3 linked regions of the Macaca mulatta genome follow. The protein of the gene in region 1 interacts with the protein of each later gene in a biochemical or structural test. Links are inferred from orthologs where the notes say so. Each region holds a gene or a part of one and is shown on either strand. Other genes may lie near its edges.

What was found. The genes of interacting proteins can lie anywhere in the genome.
Region 2: of the proteins of PTPN6 (region 1) and ROS1, one has a biochemical effect on the other in vitro, tested with the Homo sapiens proteins (2 studies listed by BioGRID and IntAct). The link is inferred for Macaca mulatta from reciprocal best matches to the Homo sapiens genes PTPN6 and ROS1.
Region 3: of the proteins of PTPN6 (region 1) and SRC, one has a biochemical effect on the other in vitro, tested with the Homo sapiens proteins (2 studies listed by BioGRID). The link is inferred for Macaca mulatta from reciprocal best matches to the Homo sapiens genes PTPN6 and SRC.

Annotation. Positions count from the first base shown.
Region 1 is NC_133416.1:7,930,451-7,934,272, forward strand, and holds part of PTPN6 (tyrosine-protein phosphatase non-receptor type 6), read left to right. Parts: intron 1-503; coding exon 504-635; intron 636-767; coding exon 768-922; intron 923-2,766; coding exon 2,767-2,834; intron 2,835-2,926; coding exon 2,927-3,078; intron 3,079-3,174; coding exon 3,175-3,266; intron 3,267-3,636; coding exon 3,637-3,751; 3' UTR 3,752-3,776; intron 3,777-3,822. UniProt on the Homo sapiens protein: Tyrosine phosphatase enzyme that plays important roles in controlling immune signaling pathways and fundamental physiological processes such as hematopoiesis.
Region 2 is NC_133409.1:22,414,055-22,418,411, reverse strand, and holds the start of ROS1 (proto-oncogene tyrosine-protein kinase ROS), read left to right. Parts: upstream 1-1,386; 5' UTR 1,387-2,385; coding exon 2,386-2,508; intron 2,509-4,357. UniProt on the Homo sapiens protein: Receptor tyrosine kinase (RTK) that plays a role in epithelial cell differentiation and regionalization of the proximal epididymal epithelium. NELL2 is an endogenous ligand for ROS1.
Region 3 is NC_133415.1:90,223,798-90,228,299, reverse strand, and holds the start of SRC (proto-oncogene tyrosine-protein kinase Src), read right to left. Parts: upstream 2,972-4,502; 5' UTR 2,895-2,971; intron 1-2,894. UniProt on the Homo sapiens protein: Non-receptor protein tyrosine kinase which is activated following engagement of many different classes of cellular receptors including immune response receptors, integrins and other adhesion receptors, receptor protein tyrosine kinases, G protein-coupled receptors as well as cytokine receptors.

The DNA.
Region 1 (3,822 bases):
AATGACTCTGTCTCCACACTGTCTCCGCCCGGCAGATGCCTCGTGTTTGAAGACACAGCTGAAGCGCTGCCTTCTCTGTGAATTCAGGTCTTGTTTTCTCCAGGACCTAGAGGGCGAGTTTCCTCGTTCCCAGCCACGCTCCTCAGCGCGGCGTCTCCCCGGTCACTTGTCTCTGTGAGCTCCTCCAGGCACAGGGGCACAGACTGGGTGTTAGCTGTGTCTGTGACTACAGCCTGGTTTGCACGGCTTCGGGGACAACGCCTGCCTCGGCAATGTTTGTTGAATGACAAATGGATGTACCAGTAAAGCGGCTGGCCAGGTCGCACCACCTGTTGGTGGCTGATCTGAGACGAGAGCCCAGGTCTCCTGCCTCTCTGCCAGCTCATCTATCCATCCAACAAACGTTTGGGCCGGTGCCAGGCACTCAGAACCTAGAGCGGGACCTGGGATGGGCCACAGCGCCCTGCTCTGTGCCTCATCCCCACCCGACCCTCCCTTTCCAGAACAAATGTGTCCCATACTGGCCCGAGGTGGGCACTCAGCGCGTTTATGGGCCCTACTCTGTGACCAACTGCGGGGAGCATGACACGACCGAATACAAACTCCGCACCTTACACGTCTCCCCACTGGACAATGTGAGCGGCCCCCACTCCCTGCCCTGCTCCGGGAGTCCCTCCCGGACTTGTTCTCCTCTCTGGTGGGGTAGGGCGAGACAGGTGGGGTGTTCCGAGGGAGCAGGGGGCACTGACCCTGTGTCCTCGGCCCAGGGGGACCTCATTCGGGAGATCTGGCATTACCAGTACCTGAGCTGGCCCGACCATGGGGTCCCCAGTGAGCCTGGGGGTGTCCTCAGCTTCCTGGACCAGATCAACCAGCGGCAGGAAAGTCTGCCTCATGCAGGGCCCATCATCGTGCACTGCAGGTGAGGATGATAATCCTGATGGTAGTAGTGGCCGCTGAGAAGTAAATACTGCTAAGTGCCATGAGCGTTATAAGCAACATACACGTTAGCTCACACGATTAGTGCCTTCCGCTCACTCCCAGCTTCTTCTGGGTCCCCTCATGGCTCCAGACCCCTGGGTGGAACGTGGCTGGAACCAGCCCCACTTTGGCCCTCTGCCTGTGGTTGTCTTCCTCAGAGCCCTCCCCAGATGTACCATCTCGCCCAACCCTGCCAAATACAGAGGAGGAACCTGGGACCCAGTTGCTGGCCAGGCCCAAGCTAGGCAGGGCAAGGCCGGGCAGGCACCCACAGTAGGCCTGGGTCCTGGCTGCTCCGCTTTCTCTCCAGGTCTCACTCCGTTGGTTTCTTCTCGCCTCCCAGGAACATCCATGGGGCTTGTGCTCCCCGTTCCTCCTCTTTTTCCATCGGTAGACCCAGGGCTTTGGCTTGTTCCTGACTCCGCCCTCTCTCCCAGCTTCCCCAGGCGGCGCCCCATCCTGGCCCCCAGGGCTGTGTGGGGATGGACAATGCCTTTTTGGGGGTGCACATAGCTCCTCTATCTACCCTCATGTTTGTGATCAGGAGACCCTGGTAAGGTGCAGAGGTGGGGGCCTCAAGGAGGAGCAGGGGTCCCACAGATGAGCCCACTGAGCCCGCCTGGCCTGGGTGGATGAGAGGCAGCGGGTGCAGGGCCCCTCCGCTTACCAGCTGCGTGATCTTGGACAAATTACTTAACTTTTCTAACCCTCAGCTTCCTCCTCTGTAAAATCAGGACCTCAGGGTTGTAGTGAGAACTCAATGAGACCCTGTCGTTGCGGCTGGAATTCCGTCAGCCCTCAAACACGGGGCGCTGTTACTGGTTTAGTAACTCACGTCAGGCAGAGAATGGGGGAAATGAGAACCTGCCTTGCTCTGGTCCCTTCCCACTCCCACCGTGGACCCCAGGCCTGCGACAGTCTCTGGCTTCCTCCTCTTCCCCCAGCAGCTGTTTGTCCTGGGACAAGTCAGCTGAATCTAGAGGTGCCCCCGATGGGCTGTCTCGGGGACCCGGCTCTGTCCTCTGCTCTCTCAGAGACAGGCCCATCCCCGAGAGCTACCCTCCTGCTCACCCGCCACACACACATCACACACTTCTTGGAAGCCCCGTGGCCTTTATTTAGACGTTACAGGAAGGAAGTGGGTGTGGGGGGTTATTTTTGACAATCTGGGTTTGAAATTAGACAGTGCGACTCAGGGCATCAGCCTGATGGGCCCAGCCGAGGGTGGGCCTGGGGTCTCCCTGGCGTCTGTTTGCCCAGGGGTGGGAAAGAAGAGAAGCTTCCTACGGCCCTGCTCCTCCGAGCGCCCTGACCCGGCGCGCCTGCACCCTGCTGTCTCAGGGGTGTCCTTTTCCTGATGTCAGGGTTTGAAGAAAAACGAAGTGAACCGTGCTGAGAGACGCACCAGATCTCCTGCAGGGAGAGGCGGGGAGGGCTCAGGGTACCTGGGAGCCGACAGGATAGTGGTGGGATTTGGGGGTCCCAGGTCTTCCGGGGTGGGGGCAGCCACTCACCAGGAGTGGGGAGTCGGCGCGAGGAGTGGAGGAGGGAAGGATGGTGGCAGCCGGGGAGACGGCGTCAACACCACAGAGCCAGAGTGGAGCGCGCCCATGCAGAGCTGGGCAAACGTCCGTCGTCACTTGCCCGGTGACCCTGGGCACATTCCCTCCCATCACTGGAGGCTCAGGCTGCTCCTGTGGTGCCTGGGGCTGGAGCTGAGCACTGGGTACCCCCCTTCCCGGGAGGGCTTGACTGGCCTCTGACCGTACCCCCGTCTTTCCCCAGCGCCGGCATTGGCCGCACGGGCACCATCATTGTCATCGACATGCTCATGGAGAACATCTCCACCAAGGGTGAGGGGCACCTGGGGGCTTGGGAGTGGGGCTGAGCAGCCTCTCGGTGTCTGCCTATGCCTGGACCTGAGGTTTGACTGCCCCCCACCCAGGCTTGGACTGTGACATTGACATCCAGAAGACCATCCAGATGGTGCGGGCGCAGCGCTCAGGCATGGTGCAGACAGAGGCGCAGTACAAGTTCATCTACGTGGCCATTGCCCAGTTCATTGAAACCACCAAGAAGAAGCTGGAGGTCCTGCAGGTGTGTGCAGAGCAGGGCCTGGGGGGCTGCAGTGCGGGGCAGGCGCCACCTAGCCGTGCTGGGACCACCACCCTCCCACCATCCCTCTGTCCATAGTCGCAGAAGGGCCAGGAGTCGGAGTATGGGAACATCACCTACCCCCCAGCCATGAAGAACGCCCATGCCAAGGCCTCCCGCACCTCGTCCAAGTGAGTGGCCCTGACTGCCACTGCCCGGCATCCACCCCTTTGTCCTGCCCAACCCGATCCTCACTTTCTGGAGAGGACAAGTGTCACAACTGGGGGGGCCTGGCTTCAAGTTCAGGCTTGGGTCTCACCCTTTCTATTCATAAGCATTTCCCGAGTGCCCACCACGTGTGGGCCTCTGCTAGGTACCAGCCGTGCACTCCTGTATGAGATGTAGCCTCTGTCCTCTAGGAGCTTGGAGTCTAGTGCGGGGACAGTGGCTGGGTCGCCTGTGAGATGGGGTGGCCAGAGGGGGCTGCCAGTGCCGAGTCCCCCGCGCTGTCTCCTGACCTGCACCCACTGCCTGTACTTGCCCCCCTGCACCCCGCTGCAGACACAAGGAGGATGTGTATGAGAACCTGCACAGTAAGAACAAGAGGGAGGAGAAAGTGAAGAAGCAGCGGTCAGCAGACAAGGAGAAGAGCAAGGGTTCCCTCAAGAGGAAGTGAGCGGCGCTGTCCTCAGGTGGCCATGGTACAGTTCTTCTGCCTGGGTGTCCTCCCGGCCCTGCCCCGTGTCC
Region 2 (4,357 bases), on another chromosome or scaffold:
TTGCAAACTACCCATCAGACAAGGGATTAATAACCAGAATAAATAAGGACATCAACCAACTCTATAGGAAAAAATCTAATGATCCAATCAAAGGATAGGCAAAAGATTTGAATAGACATTTCTCAAAAGAAGACATACGAATGACAAACAGGCATATGAAAAGCGTTTAACATCATTAATCATCAGAAAATGCAAATCAAAACTACAATGGGATATCATCTTACCCAGTTAAAGTGGCTTATATCCAAAAGACGGGCTATAACAAATGCTGGTGGTGATGTGGAGAAAAGGAAACCCTTGTACATTTTTGATGAGAATGTAAATTAATACAACCACTATGGAGAACAGTTTGGAGGTTCCTCAAAAAACTAAAAATTAAGCTACCGTATGATCTAGCAATTCTACTGCTGGGTATATGCCTAAAAGAAAGAAAATCAGTATATCAAATAAATACCTGCATGCCAATGTTTATTGCAGCACTGTTTACAATAGCTAAGATTTGGAAGCAACCTAAGTGTGCATCAATAGATGAATGGATAAAGAAAATGTAGTACATATACACAACGGAGAACTACTCAGCCATATTCAGTCATTTCCAACAACATGGATGGAACTGCAGATTATTACGTTAAGTGAATTGAGCTAGGCACCGAAAGGCAAACATTGCATGTTTTCACTTTTTTGTGGGATCTAAAAATCAAAACAATTGAATTCATGGACAAAGAGAGTATAAGGATGGTTGCCAGAGCTGGGAAGGGTAGTGGTGGGTGGAGTGGGGAATGGGAGATGGGGACAGTTAACGGGTACAAAAAATGCAGAAAGAGTAAATAAGACCTACTATTTGATAGCACAACGGGTGACTATAGACAATAATCACTGTACATATTAAAATGACTTAGAGCATACTTGGATTGTTTGCAACTCAGTGGATAAATGCTTGAGGGGATGGACACCCCATTCTTCATGATGTGCTCATTTCACATCGCACATGGATGTTTCAGAACATCTCCTGTGCCCCATAAATACATGCACCTACTATGTACCCATCAAAATTAAAACAAACAAAAATCCAATAAAAAAGACGTTCAGCTCAAAACAAAATCTCATGCATGTGTTACTCATAATGAGAACCTTATATCATTAAGAAAAGTTTAAGTTACATTTAGTATAATTTATTTAAGCAAACAAGGAGGTTGGCCTGGTGTACCGTGGTGACTCACGCCTGTAATCGCAGTACTTTGGGAGGCAGAGGTGGGCGGATCACGAGATGAAGAGATAGATACCATTCTGGCCAACATGGTGAAACCTCGTCTCTACTAAAAATACAAAACTTAGCTTGACGTGGTGGTGTGTGCCTGGTAGTCCCAGCTACTTGGAGGCTGAGGCAGGAGAATTGCTTGAACCTGGGAGGCAGGGGTTGCAGTGAGCCGTGATCAGCCACTGCACTCTAGCCTGGGCGACAGAGGGAGACTCAGAAAGAAAGAGAGAAAGAAAGAGAGAAAGAGAGAGAGAAAAAGAGAAAGAAGAAAGAAGAAAGGAAGGAAGGAAGGAAGGAAGCAAGGAAGGAAGGAAGGAAGGAAGGAAAAGAAAGAAAGAAAGAGAAAGAAAGAAAGAAATCTTGTACAATGTTTCCTTCTCAAGGCAGACACTTGAACATATCTTAGGTTTCTGGTAACTAGTTTCAGCTTTCTCAATAGACCTGATAAGGCAGTATTTTAGTTAATATGTAGTAAAGTTCTGAGAGTGCTCTAACAAACTTCCTTGTTTTTAACTCACTCCCAGGCTATTTTTCTATTAATTTCAGCTTTGTTTGCTCTTAAATTTAAAAATATGTATTTGGCTTCTGAGTTCTGTTTTCTCTTTCAGTTGCATTGCTTGATTTGGGTGCCTCTATTTTTTCAATAATTCTTTATTATAGTAGTGCTACTGTTTGCTAAAGCATACGTGGTCAAAACCCAATTCCCTGCAGAGCTGAAAAGAGCTCAGAGAAGTAACGTGGTGGACGACCCACTGAAATGTTCCAGTTTCAGACTATGGATGTGTCACACCCTTGCTGAAATACAATTCGTTTTCTTTGTTTAATTTCCACGTGAAGTGCTCTTCTAAGAACTAACCTTTAATCAGTGGGTGACTTTCTTTATGGGAGTAAAAGGAAGCTATTATGAAATAACTCTTATGGAACTGTTACAAGCTTTCAAGGATTCAAAGGTCTAAACTAAAAAGGCTAAATGTTATTTCAAAAGGCAAATATATCCTAATATAGCAAAACAAAACAAAATCCATCAGCTACTCCTCCAATTGAAGTGATGAAGCCCAAATAATTCATACAGCAAAATGGAGAAAATTAGAAGACCGGCCATCTAAAAATCTGCCATTGGTGGAGTGATGAAGAACATTTACTGTCTTATTCCGAAACTTGTCAATTTTGCAACTCTTGGCTGCCTATGGATTTCTGTGGTGCAGTGTACAGTTTTAAATAGCTGCCTAAAGTCGTGTGTAACTAATCTGGTAAGTCTGTAACTAATCTGGTAAGTCTCGCAATCTAATATTTGTCTTTGCAGGAACTGGAACATGTAGAATTCAGCTTGTTATAACTGATATAATTGTTTTCTCTTTATGAGCAGTTTTCTTATGAGAAGTGGTAGCAACAACGCAAGATAGATTAGTTTTTCTTAAATAAGTTAGCAGCACTTATAATTGCAGAAGATAAAGCAGGCTATTTTATTTCTTTAGGGTACCTGGTCATATATTTTTTGGGCTAGAGGATTGGGTAAAGGAAGTTTAAATGGAATCAATTTTGCCAATTTTATACACTTGAAAATTTCTATTTAAACTCATTTATTACAAAGTCATTAATAGTTGTCTTGAAACATGAAATAGGTTTGACCATAGGATAATGCCTGCTAATTCCAGCTGTGTAGGAAGCTGGATAAAAAAGGAAGCAGATACAGATGCCATGTAAAATAATATTATATTTTAAAGCAATACTTATTTGTACATTTCTTTATTTCTGTTTGTGCATTTGTAATTTTAGTTAGTGAGTTTTTTATATGGAAATTTATGCTTTCATTCTCATTTCTGGGTGTCATCCCTTCTCTAACTATTGTACCATCTCTTCAGTTGTAATTTAGTTGTGCTTGAAACAGTTACTGAATTAACTTTAAAAACCAAATACTCTATAGACAGAGAAATGCACTCTTCCTGTCTAAAGACAAATAATATATCATGATAGTTTACATATGCCCCTATCTACAGCCATACTTTTAAACATAATACAAGTACTAAATATAGTACTCATTATATTATGCTACAATGTTGGAGGTAGAATTCTGTGACAGATTAAAAAAGAAACTTGTGCTTATACACTTTTGATTTAAACTGTAGTTTAAAACACTACTTAGGCTTACCATGGTTAGTAGCATTTTAAAAAAAGTTTAGTATTTTATATAAATCTTTGCCAAAGACTTCATTGCTTTTAATACAGAATTGCATGCTCTGGTTTTTTATATTTGTAACCCAAACATAAAAATGGAAGAATGGAACTACTAAATATTTCAACTACTAAATGGAAAACTAAATATTTTCTTTTCTAAAAAAGATTTTAATTTTTTTCTAATTATAATAAGAATATACATTTTAAATAAAATATTTATAAGATAAAGAACTAGAGAAAAATAAAAAACATATAATTCCACCCCTAGTAACCTTTAGATTGAATTTTCTCTTAGTATTTTTCCTCATGTATATATGTGTACATATATATCTATAATTTACACACAGTTATGCATCCAGCTTTTTCATTACATTATATTGTGAGTTTTCCCCTAGACCCTAAAATGTTTTTAGAAACAGAATCTTTAATATCTTTAGAGTATTCCATTATATGAATGTACCACCATAATTTATTTGTTAATTTCTCTGCTACTGAAACTGATTTTAGTTGTTTCCAATATTGCAGTCTCCATTTTATTTTACTGTAGTTTTATTTATTCTTATCTTTTTGTGTGGGCTCCTTGCTTTCAGGGTTTGGCAGTAGGAATAGACAGTTTGTTCCTTTGTTGAGTTGCCTTCCGTTCACCACCTACAGAGAAAGGCACAGCTGATGTGTGGCAACAGCAAGAGAGACACGGTCTGCCAATTTGACCAGTGAAAGTACTACACGTTCCGACATAAGGCCTGGAGGGACAAAAGTGAAGTGAATGTACAATTGAATGTAACCATGGTTCACAGGAGAGGATATACAAAGTGCTCAAGTTTATTATATTTTCTGCGTCATTTTAAAAACATGGGCATTTACTCTGAAGGTCATCTATAATTTTTTGGGTGATTCTTGATATTGAGAAATGTTTTCTTACAC
Region 3 (4,502 bases), on another chromosome or scaffold:
AAAGACATCACAAGAAAAGAAAATTACAGACCAGTAACTTTTATGAAAATGAATATATGTATTACATACATATAAATATTCTACAAAATACTAGAAAACTGGATCCAGCAACAAAAAACTTTTGTTTTCCAAAGAACAACATCAAGAAAGTAAAAGGACAACCCACAGAATAGGAGAAAATATTTGTAAATCATATACTTGTATCTACAATATATAAATATCTCTTACAGTGGCTCATGCATGTAATCCCAGTGCTTTGGAAGCCAAGACAGGAGGATCTCTTGAGGCCAGGAGCTTGAGACCAGCCTCGGAAACATAGTGAGACCCCTACTAAAAATTAAAAAAAAAAATTAGCCGGGCGTGGTGTTGCATGCCTGTGGTCCTATCTACTCAGGAGGCTGAGATGGGAGGATTGCTTGAGCCCAGGAATTTGAGGTTACAGTCAGCTATGATCACACCATTGCACTCCAGCCTGAGTGGCAGAGTAAGATCCTATCTCTACAAAATTAAAAAAAAATTAAGCCAGGCATGGTGGCACACGCTTATAGTCCTAGCTACTTGGAAGGCTGAGGCAGGGGGATCACTTGAGGCCAGGACTTCTAGACTAGCCTGGGCAACATAGTGAGACCTTGTTGCTAAGACAAAAAAAAAATAGATTACATTAATAATAAAAGTAGGCAAAGAACTTGAATAGACATTCCTCCAAAGAAGATATACAAGTGGCCAATAAGCACATGAAAAGATGCTTAATGTCACTAGTAATTAGGGAAATAAAAATCAAAACGGCTGAGTACAGTGGCACATGCCTGTAAACCCAGCACTTTGGGAGGCCGAGGTGCGAGGATCATTTGAGCCCAGGAGTTCAAGACTAGCCTGGGCAACACGGTGAGACCCTATCTCTACAAACTAAAAAAAAAAAAAAAAGGGCCTGAGCCAGGTGTGGTGGCACACACTTTTGGTCCCAGCTGCTCAGGAGGCTGAGATGAGAGGATTGTTAGAGCCCAAGAGTTTGAGGCTGCAGTGAGCCTCGGCAACAGACTGAGACCCTGTCCAAAAAAAAAAAAAATCAGAACCACCATGAGATGCCACTTCACAGACACTAGGACGGATGACTAGAATCTAAAAGACAAATGTTGGCAAGGATGTGGAGAAACTGGAACCCTCAGACATTGCTGATGGGAATGTAAAATGGTGCAGCTGCTTTGCAAAACAATCTGGCAGTTCCTCAGAAAGTTAAACATGGAATTACCATATGATCTAGCAATTCTACTCGTAGGTACACACTCAAGAGAAATGAAAAACATATGTCTACACAAAAACTTGCACATGAATGTCCAGAACAGTATTACCCGTAATAGCCAGAAAGCCCAAATGTCCATCAACTGATGAATGGATAAATAAAATATGGTATATCCATATGATAGAATATTATTTGGCAAGAAAAAAAGAATGAAATATTGATCCATGCTACAACATGAGTGAATCTTGAAAACATTATGCTAAGTGAAAGAAGTCAGCCGCAAAAGAGTACACTTGAATGATTTCATTTCTATTAAATGCCCAGAATAGGCAAATCTATAGAAACAGAAACTAGATTAGTTGCCGCCTAGGTCTAGGGGAGGGAAGTTTAGGGGGAAGTGGGGAGTAACTGTAATGGGTAAAGTTTCTTTGTAGGGTAATGAAAATGTTCTAAATTTGACTGTGGTGACGATTGTACAACTCTGTGACTCTACTAAAAACCACCGAATTGTATACTTTAAATAGATAAATTGTATGCTATGTGAATTTTATCTCAGTAAAGCTGTGATACACATTTTTCAAATAAACTACACTGGGGGCCACTGTTCACCTATCAGCTCGGCAAATTGCACTTATGCAATTTATCCCCAAATTTGGTAACATCCTATGCTGGTGAGAGTGAGGAGAACAGAGGGTGTGGGGACACCAGCGCAATCTCTCTGAAGGACAATTTGGCAATACCTATCACAATTACACACCCACTGACCCTGCAGTGTGGAATTAATCCTAAAAGAACACACAAACACAAGGCATATGATTGAGGATATTCATTTGTGGAATTGCCTAGAACAAGCAAAAGACTGGAAACAACCAAAATATCTGTCCTTAGTTAAGTACAGTGTGACCACCGTACATGCAGTGGAATACTACGCAACCATGAACAAGAAAAATGCAGCACAAATAAATGACCTCTGAGGTACACTGTCAAGAGAAAAAAGTCAGTTGAGGACAGGGTAGACTGTGTGCTATCATTTATCTAAAAAAGAGAAAAAAATTTCCGGCTGGGGGTGATGGCTCACACCTATAATCCCAGTACTTTGGGAGGCTAAGACAGGAGGACTGCTTGAGCCCAGACATTCAAGACCAGCCTAGGCAACATAGTGAGACTCTGCTTCTACAAAAAAATAAATAATTAGCTGGGTGTGGTGCATTTCCCTGCAGTCCCAGCTCCTTGGGACGCTGAGGTGGGAGGATCGTTTGAGCCCAGGAGTTCGAGGCCTCAGTAAGCATGATTGTGACACTGCACTACAGCCTGGGCAACAGAGTAAGACCCTAAGAAAAAAACAAAATTCTTTGCAAATGTGTAATATTGAGTCAAGTGCGGAAGCTAAAAATATCAACACCTGGCATTCCCATCATTATTGAAATTCACATTATGCTAAAAAAATTGTTAATATACATGCTTATATATGCCTGGATCTCCCTGGAAGGATACACCAGAAATTTTTTCAAGTGGTTGACTCTGGCAAGGAGACCTGGGTGTGAGAGAGACTTACTTTTCCCTGTCGTGTGTGTGTGTATGTGTGTGTGTGTGTGTGTGTGTGTGTGTGTGTGATGTTTTTTCTTTCCTTTTTAAAGAAAAAACACAAACTTACCTGGTTTCAAATCCTGGCTCTGTCTCTCATAGCTGGCCAAGTTGCTTCACTTCTCTGAGCCTCTGTTCTCTGTTCTGTAAAGGGAGGGATAATAGGATTAATATCCACCTTGCAAGGCTGGTGTGGAAGATGAAATAAGACAGCACAAGCTCAGGGCCCCCCCCCCGCTGCCTGGCTCCTAGTAAGTGCACAGTCCCTGTTTGCCATTCATCTGTAACTATGGACACTGCAGTGCACTGTAACAGGGACCACCAGAGAGCCTCAGAGCAAGTGTTCCAAGGACCAGCATCCCCTCTGGCTGGGAGAAACTGGGAAAGGCTTCCTGGGGGAGGCAGCATTTGCGAAGGGCTTCGAGGACAAGAAGGATTTCCACAAGTAGAGATGAATGGGGGCCACATTCTTGGCAAAGGGGGCCACACAAGCAAAAGGCCAGGAGTGGGAAAGCCCTGGACAGTCACTCAATGGTGCACTGCCAGGCTCCTCCAACAAGGCTTAGCTGAGCACCTACTGATGCCATAGTGGGAAAGACAGTCAAAAGCCATGTAGCTGGGCTGGCCGAGGGAGGAACTACAGAAAGTATCGTGACAGGGATAACGAGGGGCCAGGTCCACAGGCTCATAGAGCAGGCCGGGAAATGGAGGCTCAGAAAGGGAGAGGGGCCATCCAAGATCACACAGCAGGTTCCCAATTTCTGAACATAGCCTCTCTCAGCTTCACCCTCTCCTTGTCCTCTAGACCTGGAGAAGAGAAAGTCCAGAGGGGTCCTCCGGCCATGCCCTCATCAGGGGGTGGACACAGAGGCCAAATAAACCAGGGGCCCCACAAGGAGGAGGGATGGTTGATCCTCAGAGGATAACAACAGCTACAGCGTCACCATCACGGTGTTGCTGGGTGGCGCGCACCATGCTTAGGAACTCAGTGAACCACCCCAGCCCTCTGTGGCGGGCCCTGATTTGCAGATGAGGAAACTGAAGCACAGAGAGGTGGAGCTGCTTGCCTGATGTCACACAGCTCATAAGACACAGCACTGGGAGGCAAACCCAGACTATCTGGGTTCCACCGTCTCGTACCCCAGAGCCCATTCCTTAAAGGAGGCCCCAGCAGGGCATCCTATCAGTGATCACATCCGCTCAGAAGGGCCCAGGGTGGAAGCTGTTCTCAGCCAGTCCTGGAATGCCTCCTGATAACAGTGCCCCAGTGGCGGGGGAAAGGTGGGAGGCGGGCCAGGGAAGAGCAGCAGTGGGTGTAGTGTCAGGCCTGTGCGGGGATGAAGGGGGAAGGCGGCGGGCAGGGACTTGGCCCTTTGGCAGCCATCCTCTCTCTGACGGGAGAGCAGAAGGGCTTGTCAGGCACCTGCCCAAGCCAGGTGGGGGCATCATGGTTAAGGGGACCCTGCTGCCACCACAGGAGGACTCTGGGCACATGGACTGAAGTTTCCTTCAGTACCATGGAGATGCCCATAGTCACCCTCAGGTAGTTGCAAAGGCTAACAGGTGAATCCACGCCAAGACCTGGGCACACAGGCCATGCCCCATGAACAGAGGTCCCTGCTGTGCCCCTAACCTTAGATTCTCACTGGTACTGTTCAGACTTCTATTCTCACCAAGA